Tamandua tetradactyla: one gene and its partners. The main gene of each other region encodes a partner of the protein of the gene in region 4 in a complex. Links are inferred from orthologs where the notes say so. Each region holds a gene or a part of one and is shown on either strand. Other genes may lie near its edges. The genes, in order: DHX16, CWC15, SF3B2 and RBM48.

What was found.
Region 1: RBM48 (region 4) and DHX16 share a complex: the UniProt entries of both Homo sapiens proteins name them as parts of the minor spliceosome. The link is inferred for Tamandua tetradactyla from reciprocal best matches to the Homo sapiens genes RBM48 and DHX16.
Region 2: RBM48 (region 4) and CWC15 share a complex: the UniProt entries of both Homo sapiens proteins name them as parts of the minor spliceosome. The link is inferred for Tamandua tetradactyla from reciprocal best matches to the Homo sapiens genes RBM48 and CWC15.
Region 3: RBM48 (region 4) and SF3B2 share a complex: the UniProt entries of both Homo sapiens proteins name them as parts of the minor spliceosome. The link is inferred for Tamandua tetradactyla from reciprocal best matches to the Homo sapiens genes RBM48 and SF3B2.

What each region holds. Positions count from the first base shown.
Region 1 is NC_135331.1:85,562,205-85,570,160, forward strand, and holds the start of DHX16 (pre-mRNA-splicing factor ATP-dependent RNA helicase DHX16), read right to left. Parts: upstream 3,019-7,956; 5' UTR 2,673-3,018; coding exon 2,466-2,672; intron 1,267-2,465; coding exon 1,019-1,266; intron 923-1,018; coding exon 760-922; intron 462-759; coding exon 405-461; intron 1-404. Other genes in the region: PPP1R18 (phostensin), read right to left, coding at 5,614-5,633, 6,253-6,463. UniProt on the Homo sapiens protein: Required for pre-mRNA splicing as a component of the spliceosome. Contributes to pre-mRNA splicing after spliceosome formation and prior to the first transesterification reaction.
Region 2 is NC_135334.1:47,987,257-47,994,300, reverse strand, and holds the start of CWC15 (spliceosome-associated protein CWC15 homolog), read right to left. Parts: upstream 3,005-7,044; 5' UTR 2,874-3,004; exon of another isoform or gene 2,861-2,873; intron 1,822-2,860; 5' UTR 1,814-1,821; coding exon 1,683-1,813; intron 701-1,682; coding exon 588-700; intron 24-587; coding exon 1-23. UniProt on the Homo sapiens protein: Involved in pre-mRNA splicing as component of the spliceosome. Component of the PRP19-CDC5L complex that forms an integral part of the spliceosome and is required for activating pre-mRNA splicing.
Region 3 is NC_135335.1:8,380,632-8,388,273, forward strand, and holds the start of SF3B2 (splicing factor 3B subunit 2), read right to left. Parts: upstream 3,005-7,642; 5' UTR 2,963-3,004; coding exon 2,830-2,962; intron 2,657-2,829; coding exon 2,610-2,656; intron 2,308-2,609; coding exon 2,230-2,307; intron 1,467-2,229; coding exon 1,218-1,466; intron 1,000-1,217; coding exon 949-999; intron 1-948. UniProt on the Homo sapiens protein: Component of the 17S U2 SnRNP complex of the spliceosome, a large ribonucleoprotein complex that removes introns from transcribed pre-mRNAs.
Region 4 is NC_135327.1:123,744,638-123,751,864, reverse strand, and holds the start of RBM48 (RNA-binding protein 48), read left to right. Parts: upstream 1-4,344; 5' UTR 4,345-4,716; coding exon 4,717-4,827; intron 4,828-5,949; coding exon 5,950-6,140; intron 6,141-7,227. Other genes in the region: peroxisomal ATPase PEX1, read right to left, coding at 4,216-4,344. UniProt on the Homo sapiens protein: As a component of the minor spliceosome, involved in the splicing of U12-type introns in pre-mRNAs.

The DNA of each region.
Region 1 (7,956 bases), on a different chromosome or scaffold from region 4:
GACAACTATCCCACCTCCGCCCTTTCGCCATCACTTGGCAATGTTCCTTGACAAGTCGCTTTTTGCTTACACCCCATTTAAGTCTCAGGAACAGGAAAGGCTCATCTCTTCCTCACTGATATACTAATTAACTTTGGCTCTCCATGGTTACCAGTTAGGGAAGGTTTGGGATAGCTACCACTCATAGTTTCTGCCCTTGATAACTGATGTTCACCCAATGGCCTTCTCTAAGTCCCTCCATTCTCAGCTGGCTCCTGTCAACCAACCCCCCTCCTCCAAGACCTGACCACTACATCAGCATCTCTACCACATTTCCTTTGCATCCTTTCTCTCTACCCCTAACCCCTGATCAGAAAGTCTTTCCTTTTTCATCTAATCTTGGCTTCCTGGGCCCTGGGACTCACCATGGCTTTCCGGTCTTCCTCAGCCATCTTGAGGCGCTTCTGAGCCTCTTCATAAGCCTAAGAGAAGAAACCAAGAGTGGCGGGATAGAAAGGTAAGAAGCCCCTACACCCACAGTCATTTCCCTTCTAGAATCCCAAGGATCATTCAGATGTGCCTGAGCACAAAATATCCTCTCTCAGTAAGGAATCTCAATGGGTGCAGGAACAGCAGAGTCACCACAGCCAAAGGACCCAAAGGAGTGCTTTCACAGTCCTATGTCTTCCCAGAAATCACCATCTCTAGGAATACATTCAACCTCAGATTTGACTCAGGGATTTTTGGGGGGATTCAGAGGATATGCTGGCCTCTACACACCTTCTTGTCCGACCGCTCCACGACATTGCGAGTCCGATCTCTGTCCCGTTGCCGAACTCGCTCAGCAAAGGCATCACGTTCCTCCAGGTCCTGAAGGCGCTCACGTTCAGTCCTCTCCCACTCATCCTCAGACTCTGGCTTCTTTGTCTGCTGTTTACTCCCTCTGCAACCCCACCCAGGAGATTAAATAAGGGTATCCAGAAGGCTTATCAAACTTCATCCACCTGCCCCATCCTCTCTCACCCTGCTTCTGACTTACTCTGTTTTCCTCTTTTCTTTCTCTGAGGTCTCTTCCTCCTCTTCTTCCTCCTCCTCGTGGCGCTTCTTCCTGAGATGTTTCCGTTTCTTATGCTTCTTCTGGAGGCTTCTCCCAGCCCTACCGGCAATCTCCTCACCGCTCTCCCCACTGTCTTCCAGCAACTTATAAGATCGGTTCTTCTCCAGTAGGGCTCGGGCCTCTCGCTCGGCTACTCGAGCTGGCTTTTCTACTACTGCCTTCTGTGGTACCTGTCAGTAGAGGAGAAGATAAAAAGACATGAACAATTCCTGATCTCTGCCCATCTTACTTAGCCAAGGTTCTTAATTTCATGTCCTTTTAAGGAATTACTTGATCTCAAACCAGACTTCATTCTCTCTCTCCCCACCACATTCACATTATGTCCTTTGGCCTAAGTAGGGTTCTGAGCTTCCTTACAATAAATCATTCACTTAACAAACATTTATTAATGCCTGTTATGTGCCAGGCATTAGAGATACAGGAATAAATAAAAGAAACAAATGATCCTGTCCTCAAGGAGCTTATATTCTCAACCTCAATCTTTAAATGCTCAGCCACTTTCTCCTGGCTCTGTTCTTCCCAGTGATTGAGCCTTTCCTGGACAAGGATTAACAAGCCCCAAGAATTGTTTTACAGAAAACTTCCCCATGCTGGGCACTGGATCAGACCCCAGGAATACACCAGTGAACAGACACCTGGAGTCTCAGCCCTCATGGCATTTACATTCTAACCTCATCTCTTGCCAGGCACCACATGCCACAGCTTTACCAGGCTATTCTGCCAGGTTCTGAATATATGAAACGCGTTCTTTCTTTCTACATTTACAGAGAACTGCTCTGCAAGTCAGGCACTGTTAGCAGTAGAAATACAAAGACAAGAAATACACAATCCGATCCTGCCTGAGCTCATCTTTTACACTTTGACTCCTTCCCCCGACTTTACCTGACAAGGAAGACTTGCCTTCCCTGATCCCTACCCCCATCTTCTCTGCATTCCCACAGCACTTCCCCTATATGTCTTCTACAGCCCTCCTATTCAAAGTACGGCCTGTGGACCAGCAGCATCTGCATCAACTGGGAGATTGACAAAAATGTACAAACTAAGGTCACACCACAGAACTACCGAATCGGAATCTGCATTTTAACAAGGGCCCTGGATGAATCCCAGTTCGAGAACCACTGCTCTCTACCACTTCACTCAGCCAAGTGTAACACAAGTAAGCCCTCCCCTCGATCTTCTCCACTGAGCTGGATGTCCAGCACCTGGCATAATTCCCGGGTGACAAAAGATAAGTGCTTGTGAACAAGCTTATTTAACTCTTCTATGGACATTAAGGTCAGCCTCATCTGGACAAACAAGGGAGACTTCCCGTCTCCCGCCATTCCCACGCCGGGCCCCGCCCCAGTCGCGCTCCACCCCATCCCCACACCTTGTTCCAGAGTTTCAGGGCGAAGTCCCGGGCCGGTCCGCTGAGATCCAGCGTGTCGGTATCTCGCAGGCGCTGCAAGAACTCCTCTCCTGAAGAGCAGCGCTGAGCGGTGGCGATCAGGAATTGGGCCACGTGCCGCTCGCTCATCCCCAGAACCGAGTGCAGCTCGTCCTGCACCCAACGCTCCAGCCCAGCTGGCGTCGCCATGGCGACTCACGCTCCCTGCTCCAGGTCCTGAAGCGCCAAGAGCAGCCGAGCTGGCTGTCAGTCACGTCGGAGGCCTGAAGCCCCAAGTCGGAGCTTCAGTTCCGCAAGGGAGTTCCCTTAGGACTTCATGGTTCGGTTTCCAACCTAAAGCCGTCTTCCAAGACTGCGGAGGCCGGAAGGAAACGCACTTTTCTGGCCTAAACACTACGGTGGCCGAGAGAGTTCAAGCCTCGCGGGACCGTCCTTGAACACGGGGCTAAAATGCTTCCCATACCCATTTCCGCCTCTACGCTGTCTCTCTCTCGCCCCCTGATGGTCAGTCAGTCCTTCGGCACTTCATTCATTTAGTGGACAAATACCGAGAGCTAAATGTGTGCTAGGCAGTTTTAGTCGCTCGGGATACAGCAGAGATCAAATCAGACCAAAAAAATCCCTTGCCGAATTTACATTCTAGGCGGGTGTGGGGGTGGGGGTGGGAAGAGGCGGACGAGACATATAACAAATGTGTAAAATATGTAAGTTCTATGGAACCAAAAATAAAACAAGGTAAGAGAGGAAGGATTCTGTTTCAGATCGGAAGATTAGCACAGGATGGTTCGAAGTGACCTTTGATAGGACTGATACTTGCAACAGGGGTGGATACAGGTTAGTATAAGTTAGGCCCTCCGGGCCGGAAGAAACTTGAAAAATAAAGCAAAACAAAGGTGCCCTCTTTTCTTCTTGCTTTTCAGGAAGTTGTTTAAGACAAAAAATAAAAATAAATCCCCAAGCTAAAGGAATTTTGAGAAATTCACTGGTGGATGCTCATTTAAAAGCAGAACCTGTTACTTGATGCTCTGCTGTGTGGCCTCTGACCCTGCTTCATACTTTTATGGTTAATTGGATTTATCCAATTATTTTATTTCTGTTGAGAAATGAAACATTGTTATTATTCCAATTAACAGCCACAGGTGGATTCATATTATTGACTTTTTGGATGCATTGTTTTCTGTGTCTGAAATGGACTGTGGACACCCGTGGCATCAGAGCTTCTGGGCCAGCTTTCCTGGATCACAGCTGATTTACATCTTTACCCAATTAGCTGCTGCTGTCAGCACTGCTTCCCTCCATACCACAGACTGAACTGGCTCATTCTGTTGATACCTTGCTAGTGAATTAAAGATCTTCGGCATATGCCTAAGATCAACTTTGGGTTCTAACAAAAGGGTGTCCTCTGACTAGGCTGAGAGAGGCATCTTGTATAGTGATAGAGAACTATTGGTATTTAACCACGACTAGGCTGTAGAGCTTAGAAATGACCTGATAAGTAAAATATAGCAGATGCCCCACATTTGTAGAAGATAACAGTTTCTTTGAATTGGAAAAATCCACCATCAACTATACTTAGGGAGCAAAGCTGTGAGTTCTTAATCCTTTAGGAAGATAAAAAGTTGTCTATTCATGAAAACAGTTTTTCAGGAAACTCCACTTCTGTACATACTCACTAAATTTTGCAGCCATTTCTGGGGATTTACTACCTATGATCTCACGTATTGGCACAAATTAGCCACATAGGTTGTGAGTCATACATTATCTGGCTGCTTGCATTGCAGCAGGCTTCTGAATACTGGAATCTTCAACTCAGAGTTCCTCTTCTACAGATTTCTTAGTTCCTTTCATCTATTTATTCTTCTCTTCAGTCATTCATTTTAGAAATAATTATCTTGTATCTACCAAGTGCCAAGCTTGGGAATACTGCAGTTAACCCAACTGGCATGATCTGCCCTCTTGGAACTTTCAGTCTTGTGACATCTCAACTGCCTTTCCTCATGGCTCCAGCTTGTCCTTAGCAAGCCCTATGCAGGGATCTCCCCGAGCCCTTTTTTATACATTAGTGCTACGTTCCTGGCTCATCCCCCATATCGTTCCCTCCCATAGCCATGGCACTACCTCCTCTTCATGGCCAACAGGAAGACAGAAGCCAGGAATGATGAAACCAGAGCCTTCCCTGCTCCCCCATACACTTTTTTTCTCTAAACAAGCAGCAAGGGGAGTCACAGGGAGCTCCATTTTATTACAGAAAGTTAAAAAAAAAAACAACACACAAACAACTGATAAGGAAGAAGCAATGGGGAAGAGGTGAAATGCGTCCTTATTCACCCCACCACTGTACAATTCAATTCAATATCAATTGTGAACCACTAGCAGGAACAGAATTAAATAACTATCTGGGGATTAGGAATTAAGAATCCCAGCCTTTCCTCTTGGGGAAAACTGAGGCATAGTAATACTGAGCAAAAGTGAAGGAAGCCACACCCCCTGGCCACTCCCAGTGAGGTGAATGCAGAGGGCAGAGAGGAAATTCACGTGGACTCAGCAAGTGGGCATGGCTCGTAAACCTGGGACTTTGGCAGCATGGGCTGGGGGGCTGGTGGGGCTTGTAAACCAGGCTGTGGTCAACAGAGAGACAGGAGCTGTAAACACAGGGGTGATGATCTAGGGAAGAGGTGGGAGAAGTGCCTGTAAAGGGATTAAGGGCCAGGCCTGCCAGCCAGATGAGTACTTAAATCCTGCCAGTCCCCAGGGGGGTGATAGGGAACTGAGGAAGACTGTGGGGAGTGTCCCTGCCTGTGAAATGGGGCGTGAGGAGGTGTGTTCCATCTCCACCACATCACCCCTCCCAGTGAGCTCTGTGCTCCTTCCCAACACTTAGGGTTCACTCTCAGATGACCTAGCATGCACCAGCACATTCGACCCACCCACACCAGGGACCATGGTTTAGGGGTGAAGTTGGGCAATTGGCTGTGCCCCCAGAAATAGGATGAGAGGAAAGCCAGTTAGGGGATGTTGGTTGCCCTTCCCTGCAAGGCTCATTTTCAGGATTTATCTGCTCCAGAACTTCTGGGCTCCCGGATCTTCAGTTTTGGGAAGGAGGGAGGTAGAGCCCCATGTGGGAAGATGGTCACCTCCGGCAGGACTCATCTGTGTGAGAGGGAGCAAGAAAGATGGAGAGTGAGTGAAGGCCTCTGCCCCCCTTCCCCAACCCCTCCCACTAATGAAGGGCAGTTGACACTTAGGAAGTCCTATAATGTCCTCCAGGTTTTGATGCTTGCAATCATCAGCGACTCATTTAGCTTGTATTCTGTTCCAGGCAATGTTATAATAACTCATTTAATCTCATAATAGTCCCAGGAGAGGTTAAGTAATTTGTTGTCTACCCATGGTTCTAGGTGCGTGACAACAATTACTCACACCTCTCAACAACTCCAGGAGGTAGTTATTGTTAACCCCCATTTTACAAGAGAGGCCAAGAGAGATCAATTTCCCCGAGGACATACCACAAGATAAAAGTTGAAGTTAAAACTCAGGCCTGTCTGATCCAAACCCTGTGTTTTTAAGTATACTAGAGTGTTCAGAAAGAGCCCTGGTCTTGGAAACTGGAGACCTGATGTGCACTTCCCTTCCCAGGGCCTCAGTTTCCCCGTCTGTGAAAAGAGCTTGTTGGGCGAGAGTCCTGCCAAGCCCGCGCCTTCCCTCCAGTGCAGCAGTGCCCGCTCTGAACACCAGGGGGCGCGCTCGGGCGGGCGGAACTTCTGCTCACCCACTATCAGCGCCTTGGTTCGCAGCCCGCCTTGGAGCTCCCGTTGCAGAAGCAGCAGCTCCTCTTCATCCTCCTCATCGTCCTGCTGGGCCGCTGGGGGGTTGGGGGCACTGGGAGTCTCGGGCTCCAGGCCCAACTCCTCCAGCACTGAACTCTCAGAGGGGTACTGGTACGTGGTCTCAAGGGCCGTTTCGCTGAAGGAGATCTTGAGCTGGGGGTGGAAGAGAAATGGGGGAGGTGATGAGGCCGGCCCCAGAAGCCGGCTGGGAAAGCAGGTAGAAGTTGGAGAGGCAGGGACTCGTCTCCCCTCCCCATCCACTACGGGATCTGGTTTCCCTTTGCATTCAGACTCTTCAATTCCAGATTTTCCCTCTTCAATAATATCGTTTTAAAAACATCAGACTTTGGCCTGTGCTTTGGCAGGAGCCTGGGAGGCAAAAGAAATAACAGGGCCAACGTCGCTGCTGTTTAGAGTGTGGAAGGCAGAAGTATAAAAGGAAATTAAAATACATCAAAATCAGTCTGTGATCAGAACCCAGTCCCTGGGTGCCTTTGGGGCAATCAGAAAGGCGTCCCAGAACAGGTAAGATTTGAGCTGCTCAGCAAGAAAGAGTTGGCTTGGGATTCACCCCTATGAAACTTATTCCTGCAAAGGATAGGCTAAGCATACTTAAAATTAGGCCTAAGATTTACCCCCAGAGAACCTCTTTTGTTCCGCAGATGTGGCCTCTCAGCAGGTGAACACACTCCCCCTCCCTCCTACATGGGACATGACTCCCAGGGGTGTAAATCTCCCTGGCAATGTGGGACAGAAAGCCCTGGATGAGCCGCAACCCGGCATCAAGGGATTAAGAAAGCCTTAACCAAAATGGGGAAGAAGGAAATGAGACAAAATAAAGTTTCAGTGGCTGAGAGATTACACAGAGTTGAGAGGTTATCCTGGAGGTTATTCTTATGCATTATATAGATATCCATTTTTAGTTTATGGTGTATTGGAGTGGCTGGAGGGAAGTGCCTGAAACTGTAGAGCTGTGTTCCAGTAGCCATGCTTCTTGAAGATGATTGTGCAAAGATACAACTTTTATAATGTGACTGTGTGATTGTGAAAACCTTATATCTGATGCTCCTTTTATCTATGGTATGGACAGATGAGTAAAAAAATATGGATAAAAATAAATAAATAATAGGGGGACTAAGGGGTAAAATAAATTGGGTAGATGGAAATACTAGTGGTCAATGAGAGGGAGGGGTAAGGATATGGTATGTATGTGTTTTTTCTTTTTTCTTATTTCTTTTTTTCTGGAGTGATGCAAATGTTCTAAAAAATGATCATGGTGATGAATACACAACTATGTGATGATATTGTGAGCCACTGATTATACACCATGTTTGGAATGTATGTTGTGAAGATTTGTCAATACAAATATTAAAAAAAAAAAAGAAAGAGCTGGCTGAGAAGTGAGTCCCAGACAAAAAGGACAGGCTCATTGGTTTCCATAACCTCAGCTCTTTGCTTTTCCCTGGGAAACCAAGGGCCTTTGACACCTTGTCCCTCATGCTCTCCTCTCTCATCTCTTACAACTGGAGAAGACGCAGAGCAAGGGGACCTAGTACCTAGGAGAGGTTAGGAGACCCATGGAAAGGCCCAGAGGACCAAAAGACCTTCCCGTAGCTCACGGGGAGAAAGAGGAAAGTCCACACAAA
Region 2 (7,044 bases), on a different chromosome or scaffold from region 4:
CACTGAGGAGGAGGTTGTATGTTCTGCGGAAAAACAATCATCATTGAGCTTACTGAAACAAAGACTATACTTCCTATAACATTTTAGAGAATTGTGGGCACATACAACTTAGATTTTAATCATCATGACAACTGGGATCTTACTGATTACGCAGCAGTAACTGGTGGTCCCTCTCAGGAAATTTAGGAACAGTCTACATACACTGGAAAAGATATTATATCTGATGCCTCTAGAGGACCGCCAATTGTCAGTGACAAATGGGAAAGCCTTAGTCAGAACCAACGGAACCTCACAACACACGGCTGGTGTAAACAGTCTTACACCCCTTGATCTGAACAGACATGATGATTACTGAGTATCTCTGGATCAATCATGTTCATTCTCATACAGAAGCATAAAAAGATGGAATTGGAATGACTCTCAGATATCATGTCTAATCATTTAAAAAAGTGTTACAGCTTACACCAATATATATCTAATATATATATATATATATATATGTATGTACCTTCCAGTTATCTGATGAAAGGAAAAACTATCTCTAACATATAATTTTATGAGACAAACATCTGGGATAGTGCTGGTACCTCGGGTTGGGCGATCCCTATTTTTCTCTCTTGCAGCAGCTCTCTCTCTCTCTTCCAACTCTCTCCTGAAGTCACGGTTACGAACCTCTTCAGGGGCATCCTGTGTAGTTTGTCTAAAGTAGAAACAAAGCAGGGCAAAAATATTTGTAAACAAACATATGGCTGTAGCAAATGGAAACAATTCACAAAAAAACCCATTTGTCTCCAGTCTCTCAAGAATAAGAGGGAACTAGAAAAGATCATTAACCTAACGGAAGTTTACTAACAGGCACTCGTGTGATGGTTATATTTCAAGAAGCCCAAACTAAATCACATACTTTCCCATAATAAGGCTGCAATTTTTTTTTTTAATAGGGGCATCACTCTGGACAAACCTACAAAATCTCATGTCCTACTCAAGGCTCCATGTACTTACAGCGTTCAATTAAACTGTCTACATAAATTATATTAGGAAATGCACAAGTCAAAATATAAATTTTGTGCCAATTAAACATTTTTTTGCTTTAGTTTCACACAGAAGTTGAAGTTTTAAAATATGAATTGCCGTCTATTTTCAACACCCTGCAGTATTGACTCGTTTTATCTCATGCAAAAACATTTTAAAATTTCTACATTTAGTCACTATCATTATACACTCTAGGCATTCCTAGGTTATACCATCTTTATCGTCTATCTTTCCTTTTGATTTCATTTGTGTAAGGCTGCATTGTGATGAATTTTTTTCTTAGTATTAGATCAATTCAGAGTTATTTATAGTAACACTTTAAATCTCATATTGATCAGCATTGATGATGTATGGTCTCTCTGAGGTAATCATGATGATGCATGGTCTCTTTGAGGTAATCAGGTATCAGTTTTTGTTTCACTTACATATGGAAATTCCCAGTTAATAGGAATTTCTGTTTAATGGAAAGTTTGTGAAAGTTTGCAATCAGAAAGTATAATTTCAGTGTTAAACATACTCTATTATATTCTATTTCTATGAAAGTAGACAATTCAAATGACACAACCCAAACATGCTACTGTCTCAGGACCATGCAATTAAATGCACTTGGTCTTATTCTGTAAACAAGAAAAAATGAGTATCTTTATTACCTGTATTTTATCTTTGTATGAGAGGGTAAATCTCTGCTGGAATACTGCTTTGAGAGCTGACTCAAATCACCTTCTCCTTTTCCTCTTCCACCTCTTGCAGGTTCAAAAGTTGGCCTGGCTGCTGTTGTCATCTTTTATGCTTTGAAGAAAAATAGTATCAAAGTTATTTCCAATATGATAAACTGATTTAATAAAGTTTTAATCAATAGTCAACCTTGTGAAATAATTTTCAAAACATAGTTTTCTCAAAGTTCTCAGGATAACAAATTATGACGTTAAAGGTATACAAGGAATGCAGCTTCTTAGGAAGCTGTTACTAAACACAAAATTTTGTAGTGAAGACCTGTGTTTATATTCCAGTTCTTCCCCCTGTGTGGCCTGGGCCAAGTCACCTAGTTTGTTTCTGCCATCTGTAGAGTTATTGCAATTATGAGATTCACCATGTCAAAACTCTTGCAAATTACAGTACTGCCATGAATGACTTAAAAAACCTCAACTCAACTAGACTCCCTAAGGTTTCCATTTTATCTAAAACTTGCACAACAGCAAATAGGCTAGTAGCCACAGAAACAAAATGATACTTTAAAATATCACTGACAAAGTCATTAAGTATCCTAGAGAAAAGTTAAGCTGGAGAAAAGCTCGTTAAACTTCAAATGACAGGTACATAGGAAAAATTCTCCAGCAATCTTATTGATTCAGTTATTCTATTACAACAGCCATCACCCTATAAATCAGATTTTTTTGTAGGTTAGAATTAAACAAATTCTCAAACACAAGAGCCTCACCTCACAGGATTCCGATAACCAAAAATCGGAGGCCTGTTCCTTATGTTACTCTCAGCTTTAAGTAGTTGGTTAAAATATTGCCTAGCAGACGTGACACTAAACGCCCTTAGCCCTCGGAAAAGCCACAATGTGGAAGGATGGGAGAACTGGACGGATCTTTTATTTCTGGTATACTTCTCTATATTTTTCCAAAGGGAAAGGCGTGTCTCCAGAGGGAAAAACAGGGTTTTCTGCCGCCGGGGGCGCCGCTGCCTCCCACAACTCCCCCGGATTCTTTATCACTCCGTCCCCCCGGGAGCCCGCTCTCGGCTATTTCCAGGAACTCGCTGACGCTTCTCCAGCGCCCGACTAACCTTCTTTTCTCGCCCCACCTCCCAGATGAGAAAGAGAATCTGCTACCCACCTGCCGCTCACTTTGGCGGAGATCTGAAGCAGGAACACCCGGAGCTCACTCAGACACCATCACGACTCCTAGTTCCCAAAAACCTCTGCGCCCAAGGCCGAAGCCCAAGACCCGGAAGCAAAACCCAAGCGCTTTAGCCGCCCCTTGGAGGCTGAGACAAAGACCAATCCGCAGAGGCCAAGGTGGAAGTCGGAGTGACGACAGCAAGGGGCGGGGCCGAAACGGCTCAGGGGGCGGGCGTTTGAAATCAGAGCTTTAGAGTAGACCCTAAATATCATTTTATACCTTCAAGAACCAATTACTTAATGTCTCTTCCGTCTTTTCCTTCCCCGACCCCCTCCCAGACTCCTTCATTCCGGTACTGCGTGGACGGAAAGCCCCGGGTAGCCGACACCACGTCCCCGACTAGCGGGAGAGAGCGTGGAAAAGGATTACACCAAATTGTTTAAATCCACCGGCTCCTGCTTCCTTTCTCCTGAACTAGACCCAACAAGCCTAGAGAGTTGGGCTACGGAAAAGCTAGTGTTTTCATTTAATTGGATATGAAGAAAGAACAAATATGTACGGGGGCAACCACGATCTTTATAAAGGTACCATTCCTGCAAAAATATTAGACTTCAAAGCAAAGGTTGTATTAGTATTGTTTGTTAAAATTATTATTTTTAAGTGTGAGTTCTAGTGGGAGGGAAGATGTCAGTATTAACGATTCATTCGTTTATTCACCGGACATTGAGCGTTTAGAACGGTGGGCCCAACTGCCAGAGCACAAGATGCAATTATAAATAAGATGGCTACTCAAGCGTTAGATGAAGTTTTAATAAGACAATCAACAGGAAAAAAAATCAGATATCTCCCCTCTCCCGTCGCAAAAAAAAAAAAAAAGCACTCAGTAGAGATCTTGTTTGCTGAGTTCATCTTGATAGGTCATCACATAGTCCTTGCACATAGTAGGCACTCAATAAATATTTGTTGAGTAAGTGAAACTAATCTCCCCAACTCATTTTCAGATGTAAAAAATTTCACAAAACTAAACATTTAAAAGCGGTTTCCCTAAACTCTTTCTTTGTAACTTTGAAACGGGAAAACAACAGTGGAAAAGTCCCTTCCGCTTAAGTCCAAGATGAAAATCTTGATTTTCTTTATAGAAAGTTTTCCTCCTCCACTCTTAAACATTTCATTAAATGACACTACCATCAAACCAAAATGCCAGGGCTCATTCTTGAGTTCCCTTTTCTTCATCCTTCACATCCAGTTCATCTGTAAATCGTGCTAATTCTTTCAAAATATGCCCTAAATTTGGCCATCACTTTTCAATCCATGGCCACCGCCCTAGTCCAAGCCACCATGATTTTACACTGAACTAACAATGAATTTTCACTTCACAGCATCAGTTTGGCAACAGTTAAAAAAAAATAAGTTAATACATCTGGATGGGATGAGAATAAAAAGGCATCCAGTCAGACAGGTGGGATTCATTGACTCCCGGTTTCCCACACAACATAGCCGAAGTCCACCTGATGGCCTACAAAGCTCTCCTGTTCCAGTCCCTTCCCTCCTTTTTTTTTTTTTAAACCTCATCTCTTGCACATGCCCCTCTTGGCTACATCGCTACCTGGTATTGCTTGAGCACACCCAGCACTCCTGCCTTAGGACCCCTGCACTATCTGTTTCTTCCACCCAGAACAGACAATCTTGCCCTCCTTATTTAAGTCTTTGCTCAGATGAGGACTACTTGACAGCCCTATTTAAAACTGCAACTTTCCTCCCCCTTTCTTTCTTAATACCCTACACTCCATATCTCCCTTAACCTCTTTTGCTCTACTTTTTTCTTTTTACATAACATGTATCATCTTCCATTATCCTGTATAGGCTAATTATATGTTACCTTTACTATCCTTCATCTATGTTTTCCATGCAGAATATAGATTCTACAAGCGCAAGGATCTTTGTTTTGTTCAGTGATGTGAGCCAAGCACCAAAAACAACACCTGGCACCAACAGGCAAAAAACACAACGAAATAAACATCTTCCAAATGAATGAATGAATGAAAAAATGAGTTTTAACAAGAAAAAAACACACTCTAATGTAAAAAGCTATTGCTTTTGTCTGTTTTATATTTTGAAGGGGGAGAAAAGTAACTTACTTTCTGCTAGTCTGAAATCCTGATTTTGAATGAAGATACACCGAGACTCAGAAAGATGATTTGCTTTTAGGAGAGGCTGTTTATATATAAAAAAAATCTGTGGTTATGATCAGGCTTTATATATACTATCAGAATTCTAATTGAATTAATCCCCTGATCTAATCACAGACTCAATGCACCATCTCTCCATCTCTTCCAATCGAATCATCTTTCCCAATTCTAGTAACCCCCCTCATTTACAAAGCTACCAGCCCATAAAGTGTGTTTTTACTTGAAAAATGTTTCTTTGAGCCTTTTAATAGGAAAATGAACAGAAAAAACCAACAGCCACAAGCATTTAATTTTTTCGAAAGCCTTAAAAAAAAGTTCTTTAACTTTGAGAGATGTTTATTTCATAATGCCTGTTTCCAAATGATATAAATAATGGCAGTGACTTTAAATTTTTAACCCCCAAAATACCTGTTTTCCCATTTGTAAAGTTAATCTTTTAATCCATTTTAACAAGTGAGAGTAGAAAAAATAAAGCCTCTACCAACCAAATCCTGATTTTACATGAGACCCTCGAGAGCTCAGAAAAATGATTTCCTGGAAATAGCCTCCAAATTAAATGCAACAACAAGAAAACAAAAACAAAGAAAAAATTAAATGCCACTTGTTGATGGTCCAGGCTAGGTTACTAGATACCTAATCTAATCGCATGGCTACCTGCCTAGCTGTCCAGTTTATTATTACTAAGGCAATTTAAAAGCAAAACACTAAAAATACACAAAACTAAACAAGTAGTGCATAGAAAATAAAGGGATAAAAAAGACACATCAGGCAAATTCTAACAAAATATTTTATAGCCATATTCTTCAAAGTATTAAAATTAAGTAGCATTAATATGGGCAAAGAGGGACATAAATTGCATTACAAAGAAAAATCCACTAGGAAAATATGATAATCATGTGCATTTGTACAACTAACCATATATAGCCTGGAAAAGCATGAAGTAAAAATAAAGAATTAAAAGGAAAGATGGATAAATCCGCAGTCATGATAGGAATTTTTAAAACTTAAATTTCTCATATCGATAGATCAAGCAGACAAATTAACACTGATCTATGTATGCATATTATATTTATATAATGAATGCACATAAATCCTGTAGCAAATAGAAGAATACATATGCTTTTCAGTAAACATTGAACCTTTACAAAAAGTGATTAAATATTAAGCCCCAAAATAAATTTTGATAAATACTATATGTATATTTCTAAACAATATTGTTTAGTCTCACCAATATTACATATGTATTATTTCATTTTGCATTTTCCTTCCACTTAATGTGTATTATGTATAATTTTAGTATACGATATAGAATTTTATTGTGTAAAAATACACCCTATAATTTAATCATTCTGAGAATTATGTTTGCTGTATGAGACTTACAAATAATGCTGCTATGAACATTCTTATAAATGTGCTGAGGTGCAAGTGTGTGCTTTTCTCTAAGATTTATATATCCTAACATTCCTATCAGCAGGATAAGAGTTCTTGTTCCACAATCTCAACACACTTGGTGTTGTCCAATTTTAAATTTTAGCTCATCTGGTAGGTATATAGTGATATATCACTAAGGTCTTACTTTGTATTTCCTTCATTATTAATAACTGTTTCATAGGTTTGTTGACCATTTGGATTTCATCTTTTGTTATCTGTTCAAGTATTTTTTGTTGGATTGGCTATCTTTTTCTTATCAACTTCTGCACGTTCTTAATACTCTGGATACCAGTTCTCTATCAGATATTTGTACTGCATATATATTCTCCAGCTTCCTGGTCTCTTTTTAGTATATTTTGATATACAAAAATCTTTTCTTTTAAGATAGTTCAGTTTAGCCAGTCATTTCCTTTTTGCTTAGTGTATGGCATTTCTTGATTAAGAAATTCTTTCCTACTTAGAGATAATAATGATCTTTTCAGATATCATCTTCTAAAGCTTTTATGGTTATGTATTTCACAATTCCACCAGGAATTCATTTTTGT
Region 3 (7,642 bases), on a different chromosome or scaffold from region 4:
CAGAACTTGTAACTCCATTCAATGGGTGGCCCCTAGCAACTGCATTCTTTCAGGCTGGTAAGAGGCCCCAGGAGAACAGTCAGGAATCACTCAGGCTCTCGGAGCTCCCCCCACCTCCACTTTTCCAGCTTCCAGGTCATGGATCCAAATGGAGTAGCCCTCTCATCACCAAGGAAAATCCTTGGAAAGAACTCCAAGGAAAACCCTGGGAAGCTTCTAGTTTCTAGCACAGATATTAATATTTAGCTAAATACTGCTTCTATTTTTTGATTGAGGATTTTCTTCCTCAAAAGATTAAGTTAATTAGAAGGAACTATGAGTTATTTTCTTGTATCTACTCCCCAGGAGCAAGCACAATCTGGGTACAAAGATAGTACTTCATAAGTATTTTCTCATCTGTTACTCTTAATGCTGTTTTTTAAATACTCCCAGGTAACCCATTAGATAATTAAAACAATGCACCTCTAGGGATAACATCTGACTCATCATCCCCAAACTTATATTCCTCATATTAGACAGTCTAACACCTATAAAAACGGATAAATGAGCCAAAATTTCTCTCCAAGGAACCTAAAGTGACATCATTTAAGACCTCGCAGGGGCTAGCAAACTTTTTCTGTAAAGAGCTGGACTGTGGCTTTTATAGGCCACAAACGGATTCTGTTGCATGTTCTTGGTTTTCCTTTTTGCATGTTTGTTTTTACAGCCCTTGAAATATATTTTAAAAATTCTCAATTTACAGGCTGTACAAAAATAGGCACAGGCCATAATTTGACAACCCCTGGACTACAGAATGACTGGAATTACTAAGGAAATAATGGAACATAGTTGGGGATGAGGGAGCTTCCAAAGAAAACTTGAATGGGGCATCTCATTTTGGGCAGTAAGCAGAAAATAACAGTCAACTGACTGGACCATGAGGTCAGAGGTTAGGGGGAGGGGCATTACCCGCTTCTGCTGCTCCAAGAGCTCATGTTCCTTCAGTGAATGATCTCCCTGCTTAAAAAAGAAAACAAGCTCATACCAGCACCGATACCCCGCAGGCCAGTCTGCCACAACTCGGCTTCCTAGGGTGCTCTACCAGCCTAAGGCCTATGTTCTAGTCCTTGGTCCAGAGCTTCCTGAAAGCTTCAGCCCCAGGATCCAGCTCTCTCTGGGGCTCTGCTCCCCCTTCAGGGGCCTGGTGAGGCCTAAGCATAGGCTTCCATCTACCCTACCTGCTTGGCACGCTCCTCTTGCTGCATCAGCAACGCTGCCTGCTGTTGTGCCAGCTTCAGCCGTTCCTCCTCTGAAAGTGCCACAGGCTCACCCACACGGAGGGGAGGTGGGGGCCCCAAGCTTGGTGGGTGGGGTCCAACTCCCATAGGAAAACCAAGGCCAAGGCCTGGTGGAGGTGGTGGGGGTGGCGGAGGAGGCTGCAGAGGAGGAAGCCCCATGGGTGGAGGTGGCATGGGAATCCCAGAGAGCTGTGGAGAAAATACAACCATAAAGTAGAAAGCATTTATCTATTTATTCTGCAAATATGTTTTGGGGACGTATTATGAAACAGGTACTGGGATTCTTTCATTCAAGAAGAGAATGCACCATAGCAATATCAAGAAAAGAGACTATTAACTATGGACCATTAACTGAAGAAAGCTATCAACTCTCTCCCCACAAAATGATCATGAGTGCAGATCTTGCATAATTTCAGGAGATTCAGGGATACTTCTAAAGGCTATCTAGGGACTCCTCATGCCACACAGAGGTCAATGGACCCCAGGTCAGAGCCACTGCTTTAGAGAAAAAGAAGCAAAATCAGAAAAAAACCTGAATCAGAAGGAGCATAGATGTTACAAGGAATTAAATTTACAGTGTACCAGGGCACCCAGCAAACCCTAATAATTGCAGGGAGTATGCAATCAATTCAGAGAGTTGGCTTTAAATGTCTCACTGAATGACATGGGAATTATCCCCTTGGAGGGCATGGAAAAGGATAATTACTTCCAGGAAGGGAGCATCATGTCAGGCTTCCAGGTATTTACGCTGAGTCCTGAACTACAGGTAGAATTTGGAGGAGCTGACATTGAGAAAGGAGGCAAATATCAGGACCAAGAAAGAAATGAAGAGCTCCCAGTATGTCCTCACAATATCTCCCTGCCCAATCTGATAGCTGCAAACCCAGTACACCACATTCGAGAGGAGGGCGGAGCCTGCGAAGGACCTTATAACACGAAACAACCTCCTCACCTGTGCTGACATGGGAGGGGGCGCAGTTTTATCCCCATCTTCCCCTCTTAGAACCGACCGATTCAGCACTATGCCAGTCTGCAAAAGCGAAAAGGAGGTCAATGTAGGTGAGTCCAAGAGGAACTGTTACGGTAAAAAACGTTCCGTCCCATTCACTGAACACTATTTATCCAGTGTTTGTCTGCCAGAACTCAGGCTGGGCAATGGGGAAGACCCACATGCACAGAAACGATTAAGACAGAGCAGGAAAAGGCAAGAGAGGCAAAGAGAGCAAGCCCCCGATGTCCTAAGGTGCATAAAGAACGAAAATCGAGCCATGAATGGACTTAAAGTCCTTCTCGAGAAACGGCCTATCCTGCCATTCCGCGGCGAGCACTTACCTGGCGGGTGTAACTCTGCAATCGCTCCACCAGCTCCTCGCGACTCCCTGCAGGGCAAAGTTATAGGATCAGTGAGGCAGGTCAGGCCGGAGCAGGCCAGTCTGACCCGGTCCAGGCCCAGAGACCAGCCTTGTCCCGCGGTCCCCAGGTCTCCCGGGTAACCAAGCTCCGCTTCCTCGTAGTTCCACGCGAGTCCCTTTTGGCTTCCAACGCTCCTCACCCTGGATCGGAGCTCCGATCTCTGCCAGCTTCGCCTGAAGCTCTTGGGCAGCCCAAGCGCCATAGTGCCCTGGGGGTGGCGGCGGCGGCAGCTGCAAGTCCCCTTTGGGAGGTTCGGGATGGTCGGCCGCCATCTTAGCCGCACGAAGGCGCGCAACCAATCCGGAAGCTCGAGCCAGCCTCCGGGCCCAATTCCCGGAACTTCCGGCAACGCCATACGCTACGTCCTCTCGCGGTTGGGAGTACTTTCTGATCGAGGCCCGCCCCCAATTGCGTCCCCGTAGACGCGCCCTTTCTCCAATGGTCCTTACATAGCGAGTCGCGAAGCCTTCTGGGAGTTGTAGTACTCAAGCCACTATATATGAGAGCCAGCGACGCCGCTGGGAAACACCCGGGCCGAAGCGTGGGTGGTGCTGCGGTGGGAGCGCCTCCTGGCCCGAGGGAGTGCTTTCAACGTCTCCCTGCTGAGCCTTCCGACCCGACTCCCTTGATCGGGCAGTCCCGAGAGATTCATCACCAATGCGGCCACGCGTTACGGCCGCTAAGCCGGAGGTGGAAGCCGATGCCTGCGATAACACAGGGTCTGATTGTCTGCCCGCCCGCCCACGGCCCAGGCATGGATGAATGGACTGAAAGGGGATCGGAGCCGGGAGAGGAGCAGGCCCGACCGGGCCGAGCTCCAGCTGCCGACCTGGGGGCGGGGAGGGCGACACTACAGCCCCCCTTTCCACCTTCCAGGTCGACTCAGATGTTGTCCGCTCCGCTAAGTCTTCTCCCACTTCCCTTTCCTTTGGAGCTCCCAAAGCACTTTCAAACCTCCACTACTCAAGTCTGTATTCTGCCCTTTCTCCTCACCTCCACCCCATCTCCAGGAATGTGAGCAGAGAGCTGATCTATTTACTGTGTCGCAGTACCTGGCACTGAAATGGCGCTCAGTAAATGAAAAAGACTAAATGGAACAATCTTTCTGGCGTCAAGAGTTGCAAATTCTTCGTCTCGAAAATGAACTCAGGGACTTTTCTTCCTTAAGCCTCGCCAGCCCTCTCCCAAGTGGCCTCTGCGCCGTGAGGCAGGGATGGGCAGGGGCTCTTTGCTGAAACTAGCTCCTCACCCTCACTGACAGCCAGGCTCACTGTGTGTGTGTGTTTGTGTGTGTGTGTGTTTGTGTGTGTGTGTGTGTGTGTGTGTGTGTGTCCGTCCGCGCGCTCGCGCGTGTTGGGTGAGAAAGAGAGAGCCCTAGTTCAGTTGTCTCATTTATCGGCCCCCTCCACCCCACATCCTTCCAATCTCTCTAGTTGGCGCCATTTCACCGACTGCCCCCAACAGACCTGGATACCCCAAGTCCAGGGAGGTTCGGTTCAGTAGAGATAGAGAAAAGGTCTGCACCAGGAAGGTCAGCTCATGTTCTAGCCCTGATGGAGAAGTTCCCTTCATTCCTGCCCAAATTTTTACCCATCCCCCTTCCATTATCACCACCACCCCAGTCTCCTACCGCAACTTCCGGAGGGGAAGCCAAACCCAGAAAAGGACAGCAGAGAAGGCACAAGAGTACTGTCAGTCCACTCTGGCAGAACCTACCTTCCTGACCCACTCTAAGCCTTTCTGATCCAGAAAGCCTTTCTGCCTCCTGTAACCCCAAAGTCACTGGCAGGTCACCTGAGGCTGGAGGCCCCCTGTTGTGTGTGTCCTAGGGGAGAAGGGAGGGAGTCTCTGTCTCAGACAGATAAGCTTAGAGTTGACTGGTGAAAAGTTAATGTTGCTAAGGGCCAGAAAGGGACATGCCAAGTGGGAACTCATTTCACCATGGAGGCAGGCAGGGTAGGACTCCCCCATTGTGCAGAGGGGAATACTGAGGGGTGGAGAGAAGCCAACATGTCCAAGGGGCCAATTGGGCCACAAGTAGTTCCCCTACTTAGAGAGTCCACATTCTTTCTCAACAAGGACCCTCGTATAATACCTGCTTGTGTGGCCCTAAATGGGGTATCCAAAGCTAAGAACTACAAAGGCAGCAGGAAATTCAGGACCACCCCCAGGCCACACAGACAGAGCCTTCACTTGAACAAACTGAGATCTTAGGACAGCTCCTGGATGAGGCAGGGCAGGAGTGCTTATTTCCATTTGAGAACTGAAGCAACAGGGCTTCGGAGCTGCCTCTTGACTCAGGACCTAATAACAGAACCAGCACCGAACTTGGATCCTCTGATTCCTGGTGCAAGATGCTTGGGCAAGGGTCCCAGGCCCACTAAAGCACTGGTCAGGACTGAGTGGAGTCCTGATGGGGAGTAGGAATGGATAAGCAGAAGAGGGCTGCCCTGGGGGAGAAGGGGGCAAGCTAGAAGGGAAGGGATCTGGGGGTGTGAAGGAGATGGGGCCAAACAAGGGGCAAGAGCTGTGCTTCTCTGCTGGAGGTGGAAAGAAGTGAAGAGGAGGAAGGACTGAGCACGTGGTTGCTCCTGTAAGTATACCTGGGTCTCTTGAGTTCCCCAGGAATAAGGCTTCAGCACCCAGGTATGACTAGTGGCATCCAGGACTGCCTTGCAATGCCAGCCTATTCAAACACCTTCTGGGGCTCAGTTTCCCCTTCTGAAAATTGAGGGAAGGGGACTAGCCATGGAGTCCAGACCCGGCAAGCCTGCTGGGTGAAGATGCCGGCATCGGAAATTGCCACCCGCAGAAGGTTCACCCGACCTCACCTGCAAGCCAGGGCGGCCCCCTCCCCTTCCCTCCTCGCTCCCCTCCTCGCTCCCCTCCCCCTCCCCTGCGCGCCTCGGCCCCCGCCCCCGCCCCGCCTCCGGTGTGCGATGGGGGGCGGGCGGCGGGCTGAGCGGAGAGGAGAGGAGCGGAGCCGAGCGGACGCCGCCACCTGATCCCATCCAGACGCGGCGAGCCGACCGACCCGCACTTGGCGCGCAGGGCCCCCGGAGCCCTTGGACCCGGCGCGGACCTCGGGACAAAGCGCGGGAGGTAGCGGCGACCACCCCCACCCGGGTGGGAGGCAGAGCTAGCGCGGCGTGAGTATTACAGTGGCCAGCCTGGGCTGGGGGCGCCGGGGGGGGCCAGACCAGGATGGGGAACGAGAGGTGGAAGGGAGAGTGCCCCGGGGGCCTAGTGCCTGAGAGCAAGGGAGGGGGCGCTTTACCCCCGAGGAGCCAGAGAGGACGGGGTGCGAGGGCGAATCTGGCCTGTTCACTGTGGTGACCGGATGCGGATGCGGGTGGTGGATCCCAGGGGGAGGTTGGGATGAAATCGAGGGAATGTATGCATATGGTGGGGGGTGGGGGGGTGGGGGGGAATGATGGAGAGAGGAGGATGAAGGGAATTTGGAGGCAGGGATGACATGGGGGTAGATGACAGCGAGAGGGGGCTGGAGAGGACCTGGCCCTTCCTAGGGGAAGGAAAAATATAAGAGAGAGAGATGGAAAGACATTTGATCTCCTGGGGCCATTCTTTTGCAATCCCCCTGATCCCTCGGCCCTTTCCTCTCTAGTTCCCTGGGTCAGTTTCCCTACTCCACCGGCTCTGCCATCCCTCAAGTCTGGATGGAATCCCCAGGTCATGCAGCATTCCAGCCAGGTGGTCCAGCCCAGGGCCCCCTTCTCCTCTAAGAGCAGCTCCCCCACCCCACCCACACCCACACCAGCCCTGGAGGTGGGAAGAGAGAGAGGAGAAGGGGCTCATCAGGGAGCCAGGAGGTGTCCAGGCCAATTTCAAAGCTCTGGCTGGCTGAACCATTTCTTCCTTAGTTCCCTGGAGAAAGGAGAGCAATTTGCACAACGAGGCAGCAACCTGAGGTGGATGGTTCTTACTAAAATTAGTACCAATACTGTGATGAGGCTGGGCATCCTAACCTGTCACGGATAACTGGGGGCCCTCTCTCTCTCTCTCTCTCCTGGGGAGACAGGGGTGTAGTCTGCAGCTACTGAGGAGCAGGGGCCAGGTGCATTTCTCTAACATGAAAACCTGCCCCAGCAACACTGCCACCCACCCACACAGGCCTGGCAATAACAGAGGGAAGCCAGCTCCAGGTGGCCCCTGCCCAGGATGCTAGCACTCTGACTCCAAGAAGCGAACTTGCCTGGGGAAGGCAGACCTCCTCCAGGGTCCAGGCAGCAGCCTCTCTCGGGACATGGAATGTTCAGCCTGGTCGAGGGCCCACCTGAAGGGGACATGGTTACTGCCTTCAAATACCTGAAAGTCTGTCTCAGAGGAAAGGGCCTGGGAGGGCAGCACTAACAACAATATAGGGCGAGGTGTGAAGGAAGGAGAGAGGCAGAGGGTCCTATGGGAGGGAAGCTGATCCTGGCTGTCCCAGAAAGAACTCTTCACTGGCCAGGGCTGCTCAGAGATGGGCCAGGCAGTGTCCAAAGGTGATAAGCCTCCAGTGGAAGGTGGCCAAGCAGAAGCTGGTGCCCACCTTCTGGGGGTGATGCCCAGGGACTTCCAGCACCTATGTTCCTGAGCAGGCCAGAGCTTGGGGGCCAGCTGGCTCCACAAGGCTGAGCCATGGAGGGGAGCTGGGAAAGGGCCAAGAACGGGATGTAGAGGGCACTGAGAACCCCTGTCACCTTTTTCTGGAGAAAGGCCCACTGCCACTCCCCCCAGGCTTGAACCCCTTTGCTGACTCCAACTCCTCTGAGAAATAGGGTAGTTTCAACAAGTTTACCAGGATAGGAATGGGCCTGCTCCCCTTGGGAGACTCCAGTGTAGGCACCAAGTCCTGTAGGCAGGACAGTGACAAAGGGAAGAAAGTGTACATCCCAGGAGAATTAAGGACTCTGATTCTTCCTGCAGGCTGTCCTGTCCATGCAGAGCCA
Region 4 (7,227 bases):
TCTCTCACCACAGCTTATCTTTCAGTTGATACAGTAATCTCGATTCTTCTGAGTTATCAGCCACATTTGAGAAAGCACTAAGCACTTTCTAAGCCAATGTGGAAGTATTTTGCTATTTCAACATTCCCAAGAGATCTTGGATTAAGTACTATAGATATGACAAGGCTGCCTACAGTGATTTCATCTGTGGGACTCATTTATCCAAATGCAGAAAACTTCTTCATAATTGTATAGACAATGTAAATTCTGGCAAATAAACCACCATTACAAATTAAAAAAAAAGAATGAAGCTGATCAGGTCAGGATTAAGGTAACTCAGAACACAGGGGTAAGGAAGACATTGTCTATATTTTAGAACCTCACCTCTTTGAGACCAAAGGAAGAAAGGCTTATTTTGTCCAGAATCTAAATTTTCTGTAGCACATAATCTAACTCACTCTGTCTGAATACCTCATTTAAACAACTGAAACAAACACAGGGAGCCCAGAATAAGAATGAGGGCCTTTAATCCTGTATAGCTTAATGTAATGCCTGGATACATCCTAGAATATACTAAGCAGATAATCAAAAAGTATTGGCAAAGTCCCTTAAGGGACCAGAGAAAAATATGGAACTATTAAACTTTGCCACCAGGGAAATCCCTGACACAGTGTGAAACTTTAGGGACACCCAAATCAATACACCAAACCCTTGATCTTGAGGTTTACTCTTCTGAAGCTTATGTATGTAGTGGAGAAACTTAGCCTACCTACAAGTATGCTTAAGAGTTGCTTCTGGAGGACCTCTTTTGTTGCTCAGAGATGGCCTCACTCTCTCTAAGCCCAACTCTGCAAGCGAAATCATTGCCCCCCCCCCACCACGTGGGACATGACATCCAGGGGTGAAAGGCTCCCTGGTGACATGGGGAGATGATTCCCAGGGATGAGTCCAGCTCTGGCACTGTGGGATCAACAATGCCATCCTGACCAGAAGGGGGAAAAGAAGTATAACAAATAAGGAATCAGTGGCTGAAGTTCAAATAGAGTTGAGATGCTACTCAGGAGGTCACTCTTCAGAAGCTTCAGTTAGACATTGCTACCTCTCATAACTTGCCAAACCCCAACCAAAACCATTCTAGTCAATCCTAAAGAATACTTAGGGCAATATATGAGTCTATAAAGATTCCAAGCACTAGGGTAACTTTCTAGAAACCTACAATCTCCAGATGGGTACCTGGACCAGATAAGTCCTGAAACCTAGAGGGACTTCAAAACATCAGCTAGTTCCATCTCCCTATTGTGTATTATTGATAGCCCCTTCCAAAATGAAAAAGTTAGAATGGCCATAGCCCAAATACCCCTAAAGAAAGGGATAGAAAGATCAAAGGTGATGGTAGAGTTACACAGAGAAGGAAGGGTTTAACAAACAAGTATGACTGGTGAATCATTATATTAATATTTTAGAGAAGCTAGAAGTAAAAACCTAAAATTGTGGAATTGTAACCCATACCAAACTCTAAAATCTGTTCTACAACTAATTGTGGCGCTATGCTTTGAAATTTATTGCTTTTTTGTATATATGTTATTTTTCACACACACAAAAAAGTTGATTGTGATAAAAATTATTTCCTTCTAGTCTCCAATGTCCTGGAGAAGCTAGAAGGAAAAACCTGAGACGATGATATAGCAGCCCATGCCAAACTCCAGGATCTGTCCTGTAACTACTTATTGAAAAGTGCTTTGAAAATTATTGGGTTTTTCTTTCTTTGCTTTGTATATATGTTGTATTATACTATAAAAAAGTTTAAAAAAAAACAAAAACATATTGGCAATTCTTGAACAGAAGGGGGAAGAGAGAAATGAGACAAAATAAAGTTCAGTGGCTGAGAGATTTCAAAACAAATTTAAAAGTATTGGCAAAGTTCCTTGAGGGATGGGAGAAAAAATACAGAACTACTAAACTTTACCACCAAGTAAACCCCAGATACTGTGTCAAACATTAGGGACACCCAAATCAATAGACCAAGTCCTCGATCTTGAGGCTTGCTCTTGTGAAGCTTATGTCTGTAGCGGAGAAGCTATGTCTACCTATAATTATGCCTAAGGGTTGCTTCCAGAGAACCTCTTTTGTTGCTCAGATATGGCCTCTCTCCGTAAGCCTAACTCTGCAAGGAAAATCATTACCCTCCCTTCTTTGTGGGACATGACATCCAGTGGTGTGAGTCTCGCTGGTAATGTGGGATATGACTCCAAGGATGAGCCTGGTCCTGGCACCGTGGGATCAACAGTGCCTACCTGACCAAAGAGGGAGGAAAGAAATATAACAAAATAAGGTATCAGTGGCTAAGAGATTTCAAATAGAGTTGAGAGGCTATTCTGAAGGTTACTGTTTTGCAAGCTTCAGAGAGAGACTGCTAATTGCTATACTGTACTAAACCCCAAGCAACAGCATTCCTGTAAACCCCAAAGAGTACCTCTAGCTTTGAGACGCAATAAAAATTTCCCTCACTAAGTTTGTTTTTCAGAAACCTAAAACCTCCAGATGATTACTAGGCCAGATAAGCACAGAAGCCCAGAGTTACTAGTCTAAGAGCAGAAACCAGTTGTATCCCCCTGCCCCATAATGCTGACACACCTCTTTTCAAGATGAAGAAGTTAAAACGGTCCTTGTCCAAATATCCCTAAAGACTGGGAGAAAGATCAAAGAAGTTGTAACAGAGAAGACAGGATTTAACAAATGAATATGACTACTGAATCATTATATTGTTATATCTTTTTTAATCTCCATTGTCCTAAAGCAGCTAGAAGGAAATACCTGAGATTGTGGAACTGTAACCCATACCATACTATGAAATTCGTTCTACAACTGTTTGTTAAACTATACTTTGACATCTATTGCTTTTTTGTCTATTTGTTATATTTCACAATAAAAAATGTTAAAAAAAGATACCCATGAAATAATTTTTGACTACTTACTTGATATTTACTGTTCTGAAGACTTACAATTTAAAACAAAGATCAAGACTATTACATTCTTAAATAGTGATTAAGGTATCACCCACATCTTAGGATCAATTTAATAGAATTACTGTAAAGAAGCATTCTTATAAATTCATTAGGTAGGGATTTGAAAGTCAGTTGAAAATCTTCATCAGAGCTGAGAGTATTGTACAGGCCTTCCTGAGATTCTTCATCAAAGCTAAACGAAGTGTACTGGACAGGTCTATCTGGGGCAGGATGACTTCAGCCCTGAAGGAAGCCTATCAGAGCCAAAAGACTATCTACTTTATGGTAAAAGAACTAATAGAAGGATTCTTCTGAATTTAATATGTTTTGAAAGGTGGAAAAAAGCAATCTAGGAGAACAGTTACAGAGAACTAAACTGGAAAACATAGTGGAAATTACCGCAAAATCTTCAAAACTTCTTGCATGGCTTAGCCACTGTGGAAACCATCCATCCAGCTGGGTTTGAGGATTTTAAATGTTCTATTTTTTTGTCCCCGTAAGTATACTCATGTTTGTGAGATCGTGTGCCTTTATTTTTATTATGAAAATAGGGATGCTGTATATCTGCCTGTGCTTAAAGCTGTGAAACACAACTGGCACAAAGGCCAAAGAAGCGACCGACAGCAAAGGTATTAAGTATGTATTTCGAAATATGCATAATTCACTGTAGGTTGCTGGCACACCTTATATGTGCTCTGTAGGCCAGCGGCGCCGAGAGAGCTATCATTTTATTAACCTCTCCCGCTCGTGGGCGCTGTTCAGTCCCTGTTAACATCCAAGTCTGCCCTTTGCTCTTGAGGCCCGGACGGCAACGGTGCAGGCACCTGGAAATAGGTTACAGGAAAAACACATCTAAAAATAATAAGCGACTTCTCAGGAGATTGTCCAAACTGTAAGTGAGGGCTATTTCTGAATGCAAAAGTAGAATTTTGGCATTTTTAAAAGCCTAGTTTCACCAAAGTGAGAAGTCCTGGAATAAGGTACGTAAATTTAACGGCCCGGGCTGCTCTAGACGTGATATGGGATGCAAGGACTGTTCAGGCCGGCCTGCCCTAAAGGGGCCCCCAGTTTGGCCTCCGTACGGTCCGGCGGCGCCGGGAAGTAAGCTAGTGACCAGCCGCGGGGAGAGAGGCCTGAGCTGCCGCCGCATCCCTAACATCTCGGCCACGTCCGGCCTCAGGCGGCCGTCCGGCATCCGGGCAGGAAGTTCCTGCCCGGGTCGGCGCGTTACCTGCAGGAGGTGCAGTTGAGCCACGAGGCACCGAGGCAGGTGGAGGAAACAGTCGCGGGCGTTGGTGAAGATCACCTTCACGGCCGCTCCGCCTCCACCAGCGCCTGCCAAGCGATAGCTGCCCCACATCGCGAGCTAGCGCAGAAGCCGAGTAACCCACCCTTGCGCCGCGGCCGACTGGGACCAGGGCAGGCTGAGGGCGTCGGACCCAGAGAAGATCGATCGGCCCGCCCCCGCGGCCCCGCCCCCTTTCTCCCGGCGAGTCTGACCCGGAGTCCTTTAGGGGAGGCAAGAAAGCCTTCACTCACTTTCCCGGCCTCTCCTCCGCGCCGCTGGGGGCGGTACCTCGTTCACAGAACCACAGCTCACAGGAAACGATGGCCGACGCTGTCGATTCTCCAGCCAATCTCTGCGCGCCGTGAGCCCTCTGCTCTCTCATTGGATAAACAGTAGCGCAGCAAAGCGGATGTTGTCCTCTCTCCCAGGGCCAAAGCTGTCAAGATGGCGTTGAGTAGTGGGGAACTAGGGGGCTCGTTCGACCACCACGTGCAGAGAGCGGTGTGCGACTCGCGGGCAAAGTATCGGGACGGTAGACGGCCTCGCGCTGTCAAGGTAAAGTGATATGGGTTCCATTAGCCAAACTCGGTAGCTTTAAGTGAGCATTCACTCCAGATTTTTAAGTAAGGACAAGGCTATTGTCATATTCATCTCTCATAGGATATGGGCGTTAGAACCGAGGGGCAGGCAGGCCCCACAGATTTTCCCGAGCATCAGGTCTGTGAGAGCAGGGCTGTGTTAGTTTGCAAGCTGCGGGAAGTGATATACCAGAAATGGCACGGCTCACAGGAACGCCTTTGTCGGCTGAGAAGTCACGTAGCTGGCATTTGCTGGTCCCTAGCTCCTGGGCCCGGTTGCTTTTATTCTCTGTTCCTATCCGGATTGCTCACTTTGCTTTTCCAGGGCTGACTTTCATCTCTTGGCTTCTCTTGAGTCTCACCAGGTTCTGTTTTGCTTGACTCTCATGGCCATATCTGCTGTGCCCCATGCTTCTCCAGACATCCGAGTCTCTGTTTTCCAAACTTTGGTTTCTGTGCCAGCTCTACTCTGAAGTTTTGTTGGCCCTGTCGTTTCACCGAAGTGTTTCCCCCTTTTAAAAACTCTAGTAATCTTATCAGGACCCTCCTGGAATGGGTGGAGTCACATCTCCATGTACGCAAAGGTCACGCCCACAATCCGGCGTGTCACATCCCCGTGGAAATAATCTCATCATGTTTCTAACCTACAGTGCTGAATAGGGATGAAAAGAAACACCTGCTCCCACAAAATTAGATCAGGATTAAAAGATGGCTTTTCTGGGGTACATAATATTTTCAAATTGGCACAAGGGCTTTGCTTTATTCTTTGTATTTTACATTCTTATAACTGCTTTGCACAAGGTAAGTAAGTACTCAGTAAATATTTGTTGAGTGAATGTTCCCAATAACATGATCCGTTTTAACGATTCAGTGTCTGGAAAAAGTCTACTGAAGGTGGTCTGGTATATATTTTAATTAGAGGCCTTCCCATGTGGAACTAGTTATTCTTTATGCAGAAAGAGTGGCAACTTTTAAAATTTTGTGTATTGTCTGCAAATTGGGTTGAACAGTTTTATTTTCAAAGCCTATTCTTACAAATAAGGGTAAATTTACCCTAGGCTTATTTGTGAAATTCATTTAATGACTGCATTTCTTTTAGGTATATACAATCAACTTGGAATCTCGGTACTTAATAATACAAGGAGTTCCTGCAGTGGGAGCAATGAATGAATTAGTTGAACGATTTGCTTTATATGGTGCGATTGAGCAATATAATGCTCTAGATGAATACCCAGCAGAAGAATTTACAGAAGTTTATCTTATTAAATATCTGAATTTACAAAGTGCAAGGTAATATGCAAGTTAAATAGTGTTTCATTTCCTCCATCCCCATTGCTATCAAACTGGTCCCAGGCATTCCTGAATTACCCAGTAATCTAACATAGCCCTGTATGGCTCTTATTTTCCTCCAGCATTTTTAAAGATGAGCCTTACCAAAACACTGTTCCCATCATGTCACTCCTATGCTTAAATTAACAACTATCTGTTAGGTGTAGTAGATGAAAAATTGGGTTTGGGGTAAGTTTTCCATTTCCACTGCTTTCTAGCTTCATAACCTTGGGCAAATTATTTAACCTTTTAAAAGTTGTTTTTTTCTCCTTCTGTAAGACCCATCTGGTAAAAGGACCTCCTTTTGAGGTTGTATGAGGATTGAAATGAGGTAGTCCATGTAAGGGTTTCACATAGTATTTTCCATTCAGAATGCAATAAACATTAGCTCTTGAGGTTCTTATTTTTATAGTCCTAAATGAATTTTCACCATTTATGCAGCCTGCCATATTATATAAACCCTCATTTCAATAAGATTAAAGTATAAAATGCCTCATCCATTTTTTGTTAATTCCTAATTTTGCCACTAATCTGCTCCAAAAGCCATCTTTGTCTGGTTATTACAATTCATATTTTCTTGTCTGTGTTACCAGTAGCACTCATTGTCTGCACAAAAGCATGTGATTTTATGGAGTCATGTGTTGCTCTTATATGTAATCTCACTTCCCCAGTCAGCTTTCCAGTTCCCAGTGGTTATGGAAACATATTTTCTAAAGCTTTTGCATTTGAATTCTAGCTCCACCAAAACTAGTTGTGTGACCTTGGCCAAGTTATATAATCTCCCTGTGCCTCAGTTTCATTATGAGGTCGTGTGAAGTGTTAATTCATGTAAAGCAATTAGGACATGGCATATGATAAATATAATATTTCTTATTATACATAGGCACAGAAGAAGTATTTATTTATTGTAGTAGAGCCTGGTCAGATATAGATGTTCAATAAATATTTCTTGAATGAATACCATCCTCCTTGTTTTCTCATTGATTGGTTGCTTTATATTCAGTATTTCTTAAATTATTGCAAGTTTTACAATGATAATATTTTAATT